3 linked regions of the Ovis aries genome follow. The protein of the gene in region 1 interacts with the protein of each later gene in a pairwise test. Links are inferred from orthologs where the notes say so. Each region holds a gene or a part of one and is shown in the gene's direction. Other genes may lie near its edges.

The links.
Region 2: the proteins of NDN (region 1) and MIER2 interact in a two-hybrid assay, tested with the Homo sapiens proteins (2 studies listed by BioGRID and IntAct). The link is inferred for Ovis aries from reciprocal best matches to the Homo sapiens genes NDN and MIER2.
Region 3: the proteins of NDN (region 1) and EEF1AKMT1 interact in a two-hybrid assay, tested with the Homo sapiens proteins (2 studies listed by BioGRID and IntAct). The link is inferred for Ovis aries from reciprocal best matches to the Homo sapiens genes NDN and EEF1AKMT1.

What each region holds. Positions count from the first base shown.
Region 1 is NC_056071.1:620,130-623,550, reverse strand, and holds NDN (necdin), read left to right. Parts: upstream 1-1,191; 5' UTR 1,192-1,279; coding exon 1,280-2,257; 3' UTR 2,258-2,821; downstream 2,822-3,421. UniProt on the Homo sapiens protein: Growth suppressor that facilitates the entry of the cell into cell cycle arrest.
Region 2 is NC_056058.1:40,733,123-40,737,456, reverse strand, and holds the start of MIER2 (mesoderm induction early response protein 2), read left to right. Parts: upstream 1-1,486; 5' UTR 1,487-1,528; coding exon 1,529-1,537; intron 1,538-4,334. UniProt on the Homo sapiens protein: Transcriptional repressor.
Region 3 is NC_056063.1:36,035,214-36,039,377, forward strand, and holds the start of EEF1AKMT1 (EEF1A lysine methyltransferase 1), read left to right. Parts: upstream 1-1,316; 5' UTR 1,317-1,459; intron 1,460-4,164. UniProt on the Homo sapiens protein: Protein N-lysine methyltransferase that selectively catalyzes the trimethylation of EEF1A at 'Lys-79'.

The sequences.
Region 1 (3,421 bases):
AAACTGATATACAACCACCAATTGTTACATCTCAAATCAATTGTTATCTGGGAAAATTTTGGGGATCTAGGTTAATTTAAAAAAGAAAAAAAAAGTATCTTGGGAGGGATTTGCATGTGATACTATTCAGTATCTGTGGAAGATGGGGATGTTGTGCTCTAAGAAGGTGAAGTTTCCACAGGAAGAAAAGCGGAGGTTGAAACAGTCATAAAGAAAAGGAAGGTCCTGGAAAAACAGGCGGAAAGACATCCTATGAGTCTATGCTAATATAATCTTTGTGTGAGGGGATTCTAATGAAACAAAATTTACATCAAAATTATCCAATGGAATAGAAAAACCAAAATCAATGACCATTAAAACACTAACAAAGTCATTATTATATTGCCTTCAAGAGAACTTCGATCACACTCGGATTGACAACATTCTGCATTTCTTGTTCAAAACTCTTCCATACGGTAGGAAATCAATGAATTTTTGTTGTTATTCTTCAGAATTCCAATTTGTCCAATTAGTTCTCCTGGTGGCTCAGAGGGTAAACTGTCTGTCTGCACCGCGGGAGACCTGGGTTCAATCCCCTGGAGAAGGAAATGTCAACTCACTCCAATATTTTTGCCTGGAAAAGCCCATGGACATAGGAGCCTGGTAGGCTACGCCCATGGGATCGCAAAGAGTCGGACATGACTAAGCGACTTCTCTTTTTCAGAGTTGACATATTTTCTTGGGCAATCCTGGCTGTTCTCTCAGTTTAAATTCTCACACTGATCTGAAACCTAGTTGACACACCAGCCTAGTTCTTACTCTTGGATTGATCTCTAACTTGATTTTGGATATACCTAATCAAATGCTTCCTAAGAAAGTTCAGTTTCAGCATTTCAGAAGCTTAAATTGCCATCTGTCCCTTAAACTGACTCCTTGTCCAGTGCTCACCCATCTCCCTCCCCTCCTCCTCAAGAACTCCTCCTTAGCCATAACAGGATACCTGGGGAGGGGGTGTGATCACTGAGGCCCATATTCTAGCGGACCCTCTATGCTTACTGGGGGCCTCCTAGCCCCCTCCTGCAGCCCACCAGGAGCCCCGCCCGCCAACTCGACTGCCGGGCCCCAGGCGCGCGGACGCGCAGGCGCATTGGCCCGGCCCGCCGCCGCCCCGCCCTGCCTGGCCTCTGCGGAAGGCGCCGCGCGCAGCAATGCGCACTTCCTCTCCAGGAGTCCGCGGAGGGAAAGCAGACTCGAAGAGCTCTCGGACTCGGCGGCCCTGCTCTTGCGAGACCGAACAGATATGTCCGAACAAAGTAAGGATGTGTGCGACCCCAACTTTGCGGCCGAGGCCTCCAACTCCGAGGTGCACGGCAGCCCCGGCATTACCGGGGGGCCCTCTCCTCCGGGGTCTCAGGCCGCGACACTCACTGAGCCAGAGCGCCCTCCCTTAAGCCCGCCTGATGCCCCTCTGGTCTCGCTGCCTTCCCAGGCTCCAGGCGAAGAGGGAGACCCGAAGGCCCTGCAGCAGGCCGCTGACGAAGGCCGTCCCCACCAGGCCCCGAGCACAAGTCAGCTCAGCCCGGCGCCCCCGGCCCCGGCCCAGCTGGTGCAGAAGGCACACGAGCTCATGTGGTACGTGCTGGTCAAGGACCAGAAGAGGATGATCATCTGGTTCCCAGACATGGTGAAGGATGTCATCGGCAGTTACAAGAAGTGGTGCAGAAGCATCCTTCGGCGCACCAGCCTCATCCTCGCACGCGTGTTCGGGCTGCACCTGAGGCTGACCAGCCTGCACACCATGGAGTTTTCGCTGGTCAAAGCTCTGGAGCCAGAGGAGTTGGACAGGGTCGCTCTGAGCAACCGCATGCCGATGACGGGCCTCCTGCTGATGATCCTGAGCCTCATTTACGTGAAGGGTCGCGGCGCTCGAGAGAGTGCAGTCTGGAACGTGCTGCGCATCTTGGGGCTGAGGCCTTGGAAGAAACACTCCACCTTCGGAGACGTGAGAAAGCTTATCACCGAGGAGTTCGTCCAGCAGAACTACCTGAAGTACCAGCGCGTCCCCCATGTCGAGCCCCCTGAGTACGAGTTCTTCTGGGGCTCCCGTGCCAGCCGCGAAATCACCAAGATGCAGATCATGGAGTTCCTGGCCAGGGTCTTTAAGAAAAACCCCCAGGCCTGGCCTTCCCGCTACAGGGAGGCTCTGGAAGAGGCTAGAGCCCTGCGGGAGGCCCACCCCACTGCCCACTGCCCCCGCAACAGTGTCTCCGAGGACTAGCAAGGTCTGGAGGCAGATGGAAGTTTTCTGCCCCTCACCAGGGTGGAGGAAGGGTGGGAGTGTGGGACGTTAGAGTATTCAGGATCTACAGTGCAGTATTTCACGTGTAACTTTTAAGTTTTCCATACAGTGCTTTTATACCTCTTAATGCAATGTTGTGTTCATTTCAGTAATATTAGTGTATAGGATTCATGCATGGTTGTTTGTAATTAAGCTCAGTTGGTGCTTTCGCTTTTGTGCTACCTTTCTTGAATTTTTTGTACCAGAGACATGCTAAACTTATGAAATACACTGAGGCATTTTCCATATTCTTTTACGTGTGACGGAGGCTGTGTATTGGGGTAAATTGGTCTTGCAGAGTTTGGAAAAACTCCCCAGAAAAGCTGGCCTAACCAAGAGAAAAGTTGACCCCTGTCTTTGTGCTCTGCCTGGGCACGGGAAACATCCCTGTGGAGTTTGGTGATGTGAACTGAAACAGACTCAATGTGGGCACACTTTACTAAACACAGATACAACCTCACCATGAGTAAACTTTAAACATTAAAGATTCTTGTGATACAGTCATTCATGGAAAAAGTGTACTTTATCTTCTTAACAGAATATTATGGGTTTGGAATGGGAATTACAAAGTATACAGATATAACTATTTCATCTAATAGGACGGGGATGTCAGTACTCATCATGACTCATAAATATGTAAAGGGCATAGTTTTATTTTCAGGAAGGAATTCACAAGTTCATATCAAAGCTTTGACAAGTAGAAGTGCAAAAACCAAAACAGGGGTCATAATCACATTATATAGAAATAACAAATGCTGATATTTAGAGTAATTGCCCCTCTTACATTTTCCATATTTTCTAAAAAATAATAGCTGTCTTTTGTGGGCACTAAGAGAGGCCTTGTACTAAACCCTTACATATATTTTCTCTCTTTAATCCTCACAATAGCCTTGTGAAGCAGGCACCGTGGAGGAAATACAGAAATAAAGCAGATAATTAGCTTTCCCTGGATCATAAAGGCTTCCTGGGAGGAGAGGCTTAGTTTTAGGGTTTGGACCCAGACTGAATGAGCCCAGAGGCCGAACTTATACTCACCTGCCTCCAGCTGCCCTCCTGACTCCTGCCTTTTAGATTGTGCCTTTAAAAAGTTCCATGTTAGCATCT
Region 2 (4,334 bases), on another chromosome or scaffold:
TTAATTTCATGACTTTCTTCCATTTCTTGCTTCCTCTAAGATTAACTGACCATAGATGGAGGTGTAATTCTGGGCTCTCTGTTCAGTTCCATTGATTCATGCCTGTTTTGTGCTGATACCATGCTGCTTTGATGACTGCTGCTTATACTACAGGGGAAGAAACTTTCAGACCTGGAACACATCGCTCTCTCCATTCCTTCGTCTGCTGCTGTTGTTGTTCGGTTGCCAAGTCATGTCAGACTCTTTATGACCCCAAGAACTGCAGCACACCAGGCTTTCCCTGTCCCTCATTTTTGATGATTCTTGTTAAAGCTCCCTCCAAGGAGTCTCCTCTGTTGCCCTAGGCTTACTCAAGCCCTTTCCCTCTGTTGCTGTCACGTGTGATTATACAGAGCCCCACTGTCACTGTGTCTTGTTGGTTTACCTTCCTACTTCATTGGACCTCTAGTTGCTCCGTACCCAGTTGAGGGCTGCAGGGGACACTGAGTGACTGATTGACCAAGCTTACCCCTTATCAGTGAGGACCCTCCCTCCAAGGGCCTGAACCCTCAATCTGGATGATGTACACCAATGTGAGTGGGGAGCTCATGACTCATGTAACTTGTGACTGATACAGAGAAGACAGCAGGGCAGGTCTTCTAAGACCTGTTCTCTTCTGGCTGGTAGGCTCCCCGGGCTGGGCTAGCGCTTTTACATCAAGCATCCAGCAGCAGTTGACACTGCTATCAAAGTCAGCTTGAAAAGGACCGGGGCTGAATCCTAGGTCTCCCCCACATCCATTCTTCCTGGTTTGTGTGAGCCTGAAACCTGTGTGCCTCCTCTCTGCTTTGCCCATATTCCCCAGCCGTCCACCTCTGCTCTAGTCACCATCCTAGTCTCTGCTTTGCCTTCTCTGTCTACACCATCCACCCTGATGCCCTCCCTCAGCACATCTCTGAGACACAAGGTATGGGGAATCCTTGTCTGGACCCTCTTGTTCACGCACTTCGCCGCCAGCTCGGGCCCATGTTTCCTCGATTAGATACAACTCATGACAACAACAGGTCCAGAGCCAGCGGAAGGGCTGGGCTCCACCTCCCCTGCTGACAGTGGGCACTCGGGTTCCAAGCCCCCAGTGAGATCCGTCGTCACTGGTACAAACGTGCGGAAAGTTCTAGAACCACGCTGCCCAGACTTAAGTCCTTTTAAGGAGGGGGGTCGTCTCTCCGGGGCTCGGGGTCCTCAGCTGTAACACTTGGGGGGGCACCATAGCTTGGAAGGAGGACTGGGGACCCGCGCTTAAGCTCTGGTTATCAGGAATCGGCACTTCCATCCAGGGTGCCACCACTTTCCAAGCCGAGGCCAAGGTCCGTGGAAACCCGCGCATCCCATATCGCGCACCTACTACGCGCCGGCTCGCGCCCCGCCCCGGCCCCGCCCCCGACCCCGCCCAGGCGCCCCCCGCCCGCCCCGGCTCTTCAGCCAATGAGCGCGTGGCCCCGCATCCGGGGATCCCGGCGCGGCCGCCGCCTCCCGCGCACACACGGCCATGGCGGAGGTGAGTGAGCGGGCCGGGGGAGCCGGCCCCCGCCCCGGCCCGCGCCCCCGCCTCCTGGCCGGGCCGCGTAGGGGCCCCGGGCGCCGAGGCCCCGGGCCCGGGCTCGGAGCCGAGCCGCAGTACGGCTCCCGTCGGAGCCCGAGGGGCGCGGGGCTCCACCGTCAGTCGCCCCCGGCCCCGGTCCCCCCCTCCCGGGTGCCACATCGCGGGCGGCAGTGCGCATGTGCGGCGCGGGGGTCGGGGGCGCGGGGTGGAGCGGGGGTGGCGGGGGCGGGGAGGGGGCGCGCGCCCGCAGTTTCCCGCCCCCCCCCCCCCCCCCCCGGCGCCCGCCCCGCGTCTGCCAACTTCGCGGACCGCGCTTTCCCACCGGACCCTGCCTCACCGGACCCCCGCCCGCTGACCCCACCAGCGGCGCTGAAGCCCCTCCCCGTGGCGCTCTCCCTGCAGAGTCGTGCCCCATCCGGCCCACAGCCCCCTGACCCTATCCACCCCCGATTCCGCGGCTCTCGCCGTGCAGAGTAGTGCCCGTTCCGGCCCCCTGACCCTACCCAGCCCCCACCCCCCGGCGCTGACCTCGCGGAATCTTGCTCCCTCTGACCCTACCCACTCCCCACCCCCCGGCGCTGGTCCCGCGGAGTCGCGCTCCTGCCGGATCCCGGGACCCCGGGCAGGACTCGAGCTCCCACCTGGGGTCAGCCCGGCCCGGAGGGCTGCTTTTTCCCGCGGCTTGAAGTTGCTTCGCGGAGCCTTCTCTCTCTGTCCGCAAAGCGGGCCCAAGACCCCGAATCCTTGGGGCCGGACCGATGTTGGAGTTGAGTGTTTTGGATTTGAAGATCTGTGGGGTTCCGGGCTGTGATGCTTGAGCAAACTCAGCTGGGATTGTCGAGATCCAGACACCCGGTAGCTTCGTGGCGGGTCGAACCAGAGATGAAAAACTTTCACTTTGAGGGTTTTTGGAATGTTGGATAAAGCAGTGCGAACCTGCTTTCACCTTTTAGGGCTCTAGGGAGAATGAAATGAATAACGCATCTGCTAGGGACTCAGCAGACGTGACTCTTAGCGCAGACGGTCAGTGTGGGGACTCTAGGCAGGTCCCTGGACTCAGCAAGTGATTTTCACGCAGTGGGTGAGGCTGCCCAGGCCCAGAGAGGAGCAGACACCCGCCCGGGTCCTGGGATGCTTGGCCTGATCGGGGAGCCACGTTGGGCTGTATGTCTTGGCGCTGAGTGGGTGGGTGTTGTGGAGGTGGAACTGGCCAATTCTCTCCCACTAGTGACTTTCGCAGGGGCAGCAGGAGGCCCTGCGTTTGTGCCAAAGAGGGTGTGGGCATACCAGTGCAAGGCCAGACCTCCCCAGCCCATTCCTGTCTTATATGCTGGTGGCTGGACCCAAAGGGCCCTTCCAGAGTAGTTCTCTTTCCTTAGAGGGCATTTGGGGAGACAAGCCTCCTGGGCAGTGGCTGTACTTGTGCGATGGAGGTAGAAGCCAGGTCTCCTGACAGCCCAGCAGGGGCGTGGCTGTCCATGTATGTGTCTGCCTCAGGGGCCAGCAGTCTTGGCCAGGCAGGTAGCCCTGTGTGACAGGTGGGTGGGACAAACTCCCCAACCAACCTGCCCTGAGTGGTGCCTGGTTTGGCTGTTGACTCTGCCCTGTCAGGGCTGCCAGGTGTCCAGTTTGGGGTGAATTGGAGCTGGTTTCTTAAAAAGAAAGCCAACTCAGTGGGAGGCCCTGAGGGCCTGGCAGTGAGGGACCGCAGGTATGCAAATGTCAGTGGTGGTGAGCACGGCTGGCCTTTGCCTGGGAGGCTGCCCCTGTCTCTGGAGCCTTTCACACTGGGCTGCCTTGGGCCAGTCTCTGAGCTGGGATCCCATAAGATCTTGGCTCCATGCTTGCACAGAGAGGCTGAGCCTTGTGCAGTTCTTGTCTTGAGCCAATACAAATAGTGATTCCTGACCAAGCAGTGAGTGCTGATTTTTCTCATCACCAAGATAGCCATCAGCACCCTGAGAAAAGGTGGGGTGCTTCTTACTGTTTTGCTTGTGGATCCCAACTTAATCTTTAAAAAGCTGAGTCCACTGTCCGTATCTTGTGCTTAAGAGACAGCTTTTTGTTGTCCTTAGGGTAAAGTGCGTCTTTTCCCTGTGATCTGCAGCCCAGTGGCCTTGTTCTCTGGACCCCCCGCCCCTTTTCCACCCTGGTTCCTATCTCCCTGTGGCATCTGCACCTGCAGGGGCCTCACTGTGCGGTGGAGTCTGCTGCCCTACTGGCTGCCGTGGAGACAGCCACGCAGCCTCCTTCACCCCTGGCGCGGGGCCTCCACCCTGTTTTCTCCCCTCAGTACCCTGCACATCTGCTGTTGGCCAGTGTCCCCAGCTGGGTGGGTGACTTGCCGAGACTGGCGGGCAGAACCTGTTTGCTGATTGCTGCGCCCCAGCCCAGAGCAGGTGCGGCATGGGCTGTCAGTCAGCAGAGAGGTGCTGGGCGGCCCAGTGGGACCACGTATCTGCCAGGGGCCAGGGGTTTTGGTTAACTGCTGCTGTGTGATGAGCCACCTCTGCAGTCAGCTTCTCAAAGCAGCCAGTGCTACTTAACCACCTGTCCCAGCCTGGAGGTCTGGCTGGTCCCGCCCGTGGTTGTGGCTGGTTGGTGGCTGGGCTGAGCCGCCCACATGTGGCTGCAACACTGGCGTGGCCTGGCCTCGTGGCTTGTGCTTCCTCGCAGCATGGCGGCTGGTGGAAGTCACACTGCCTTTCACAGCCTAGACTTGGGGGTCATGTGGATCCCTCCCACCAGAGTC
Region 3 (4,164 bases), on another chromosome or scaffold:
GAAAGCAGTTGAAACTTTGAAAGCTTAAAATATTACAGACCTGTTTTAATCCAAATATAACTTGCTTTAACATAAATAAGCCTTTCTGGTGAATAAAGGCTTCCTATCTCCAGTGTCCTGTGTATGGAACACTGCTACCTCTGTAAAAAAAAATATTGCCGTGAAAGTCGGTTATTGTCTCTCGATTCATATTTATTCTTTTAGCTTGATGTATATGTTTTCTTTCCTGCTGCTTTCCTAAACCTAAATTATAGCTGGTTTTGACGTATGCGGTTTAGTGGGCTTGTCATCCAAGCAATCAAAAAATGAAAGCATGGTTTGCCGTGAGCTTGGGGGCCGTATTTAAAGTGGAAATGACGGTATTCCCAGAATAGCAAGTGGCAACCCACTCCAATATTCTTGCCTGGAGAATCCCATGGACGGAGGAGCTTGGTGGGCTACAGTCCACGGGTCGCAAAGAGTCGGACACGACTGAGCGACTTCACTTTCACTTCAGAGTAAGCAAACCTGTTTTAAATTTATATCCTCACCTTATACCAAAAAGGATTAAAGGTATTCAATAGAAGGTAAAGTGGGAAGATGACGGAATTGCTAAGGAGGATGAGGGGAAGGCAGGCAGGGATGCTGCATGGATTGGTGGCCCTGCGGGAGGACAGTCAGGACAGTGCTTGGGGTCTGCAAGCGTCTCCCGCCCGCGCGCAGGCGTCGGCTCTGACCCGGCGCCACCGAGGGCGCGCTCCCACCCGTCAGTCGCACACAGCGCTGCTGCTTCATGAGGGGAGGGCTTGCCCAGCTCGTAGGCGGTCTAAGCACGAGGACCGCGTCTTCGGGTCTCGGGAACCCTCGGTGTCAGGCGGGGGTCTACCGTGGCTCCAGCAGACGCACCGCGGAGGGGCCCGTGTGCGGGGTTTTAAAGGCCTTCTCTAACGTAGCGGTAGCTATGTGTGTCTCTCTCCAGTAGACGGAGGAGGCGGAACAGACGGGGCATTGCTGCTTGTGAAACGTACAATGAAGTGCAAACGACAGGTCTCTTGGTGCGCGTTAAAACCTGCAGCGTCTCTGCTGCCCCCGTCCTCGCGGACACGTGCTCAGCCGCGCAGCTCCAGGGGCCAGGCGGCCCTGCAAGTGGCGCGGTGCCCAAGGGCCTCCCGGGAGCGCTCGTTTGCGCGTGCGCGGACCGGACCAGCCCGCAGCCCCGCCCACGACCCCGGCCCCCAACCCCGCCTGGCGGGACTGCTGTGCTTGCGCGGACGCGCCCCCGCGCACGCTTCCGGCCTGGCGGGCCGCAGTGCGCACGCGCAGGCGGCTGCCTAACCAGGCCCCGCGGGCTACGGAGCACGGGTGGACTCGAGCGGCGAGTGGAGTGAGGAGCCCGCGCCGACCCCGCGGGACTCTGCTTGTCTGCGTCTCCCGACACAGTCAGGATAGCGGCTCTGGTCCTCGGGGCCGGGCGGAAGAGGTTGGGAGGGGCTGCCGTCTCGGTTGTGCTCAGGGCGGCCGCGGGTGGGGCGCGTGGAGCCGCGCTTCAGCCGGTGTCTCAGCTTGTGGAGTAACGGCCGTCTCCAAGGCGTGGTGGGCGGGGGGGTGTCCGGGGGGGCCGCCTGGGCGTGTTCCGGGAGGCGGGGCGGTTGTGGGGGCAGCCCGTGGGGGTGGACGGTGTGCGTGTGGACACCGGGGGCGCGGGAGACCGGCCGCCGAGCCCGCGTCCCAGTACGGGCCCGGATGCTGGAAATACGGCCAATTTAGAGATCCACCCGCCACAATTTTTTTTTTTTCTTTTTCAGCTAAGAAAGTAATTTTCTTAAGCTGCGCTTCGGAATTGCTTTGAAGTTAAAGCCAACTTTTTTGTTTTCATGTTTTTATTTCTAAATAATTAGCTAACATTTCAGGCTGCAAATTGAAAGCCATTCTCAATCCACAAATGCAGCTGTGGAAACATCCGTATGCATTCATATGTGCACATAGGAAAGTGTGTGCACTCGCGCACTTTTCCTTGCCCTTCAGCTCTTCCAGGCAGTGTCGTGGTGCAGCTGGAATCAGGAACCCATTGTACCTGCAGTCTCGCAGGAGACGTTGGATTTTAATATTTGCTGAAGTGGTGTTGCTTCTTTTTTTTTTCTTACCACTTGCTGTTGGCATCTGCCAAGGCGTGTGTTGTGTCTTCCCCCACTCCCACGAGTAATCTGTGGCTCCTTCTCTGGCTAGTGAACGTGATGGCAGGCCTGGGAGATAATTTAGACTTTCTGCCTGGAGAATCCCAGGGACGGGGGAGCCTGGTGGGCTGCCATCTATGGGGTCGCACAGTCGGACACGACTGAAGCAACTTAGCCGCAGCAGCAGCAGCAGCAGCAGCAGCAGCCCTTGACAGAGCTTTCTAAAAGGGAAAGAGAAAGCCACCCGCCTTTGCTTTACCTTGAATGAACGCACACTAGGCCATGAGGTAGAGATGCTCCCAGGAAATTGTAAGCGTTGTGAAGGAAGACCATCCTGAGCAAATGCTAGTGGCCCCCCATCACCTCAGGTGAACTGGTGTGGTCTCTGGGAGACAGGTGGGCACCCTGGAAATACCTCACATCTTCCACTGAGGCTCTGAATATGCACAGGCAGCTACTCAACGTGGCCATTTCACGTTTATACCCATGCTGCCTTGGAATGTATGATCCAGTTTTCTGGTGGTGAAAGGTTTTATTATCTGGGGTCTTTGGTCAGAGTAGCTTGAGTGAGTTGAAGAAATTACATTATCTACAAACATTTCCAAACCTACAGAAAGGGATAAAGTTTTTTTAATCTTAAGTACAATTTTTAAGAATCATTTTGGCCTTGAGCGCAGTCTGTGTTTGTCTTTGTTCATGTTTGGCTGTGTCAGGGCTCAGTTCGGGATCCTGTGTCATATTTAGCTGCAGCATGGGATCTCTTAACTGCAACATGTGGGATCTAGTTCCCCAACCAAGGATCGGACCTGGGCCCCCTGCATTGGGAGCATGGAGTCTTAGCCACTGGACCACTGGGGAAGTCCCAAAAGGGGGTAGTTTTTTTGATAGGTATTTTTCTCACTGGAGCATATTAAGTTTACCGAGGATGTGTAAAGCTGTTCAAAAAAACCTGAACTGTCATCATACTAGACAAATTCAGCTTGACCCAAAGCTGGCACAGAGCTTTCTCCTGGACCTACTGTACTTTCTTCTCCATATTACTTACAGTCATAATTTATGGTAATTTTCATTTTCTAAGAAGAGGACAAAGAGAAAAGATAGTCAAGGCTTTCTGTCCAAGATTCCTGAGACCTCTAAGCTTTCTTTCACTCTGACAGTGAGAGGAGATAGGAGAATGGCAATATGTTTATTGGCAGAATAATCACCTTGCTCAGACATTTTTAGGATTCCCTGTCTAGACTGGTAACCTTTAGAGAGATCCTGAAGGAATAGAAAAGATGTGTCTTGTGGGTGTCACTGGAAGCTAGTAAGCATTTGGACGACCTCTCAAAAGGCACTTGGATACACATACTTTCATCACGTCCGCACCTCTCCCCACAGTAGAAGCTGGGCCTTCCACTTAGGAAGGATTAACATATATTTGACTAACTGAACAAGACAGAATCCTTTCAGTGATGGTGCATTTGATTCATTAGGGCTGATCTTGGCGAAAATGTGAAGTCAGAAGGACACCTTCTGGGGAGGAAACGAGCTTGTGACTGAGATGGAGGTGATCTCATCACCTCTTGATCCAGCTCTGCAGGGAGTTCTAGAAGTAGTCCTCATGGAATGGCAAGCCCGTGAGTCCTCAGAGACTTGACTTTGAAAGGCAGTGTTCATGGGATGTGTAAGCATCAGGTGCTCTGTCGTCGTTACGTGCATGTGATTCTGAACATAAACTTGCCCCGAGTATCATATTCCATTATGAGCGTGTCTGAACTCCATGGTTCAGCCCTGCAGCTTCGCTCTCCTGTTATAATGATTGTGAACAGTGCCCCTCATCGGAGCACCAAGTCCACCCCCTTAGCAGTTCTGCTCCATTTCTCAGCAGCTTCTGGCACAAATGTGGGACCTTTGGACAGCCCTTGCCAGGGTCTGGGCCCAGTCAGTGGGCATTCTCTTTGCCTCCCAGACTGCAGCAGCTTCTTGAAGAACTCCCGGTCCCATGTGTAGCCCTAAAGCAGGTGACTGC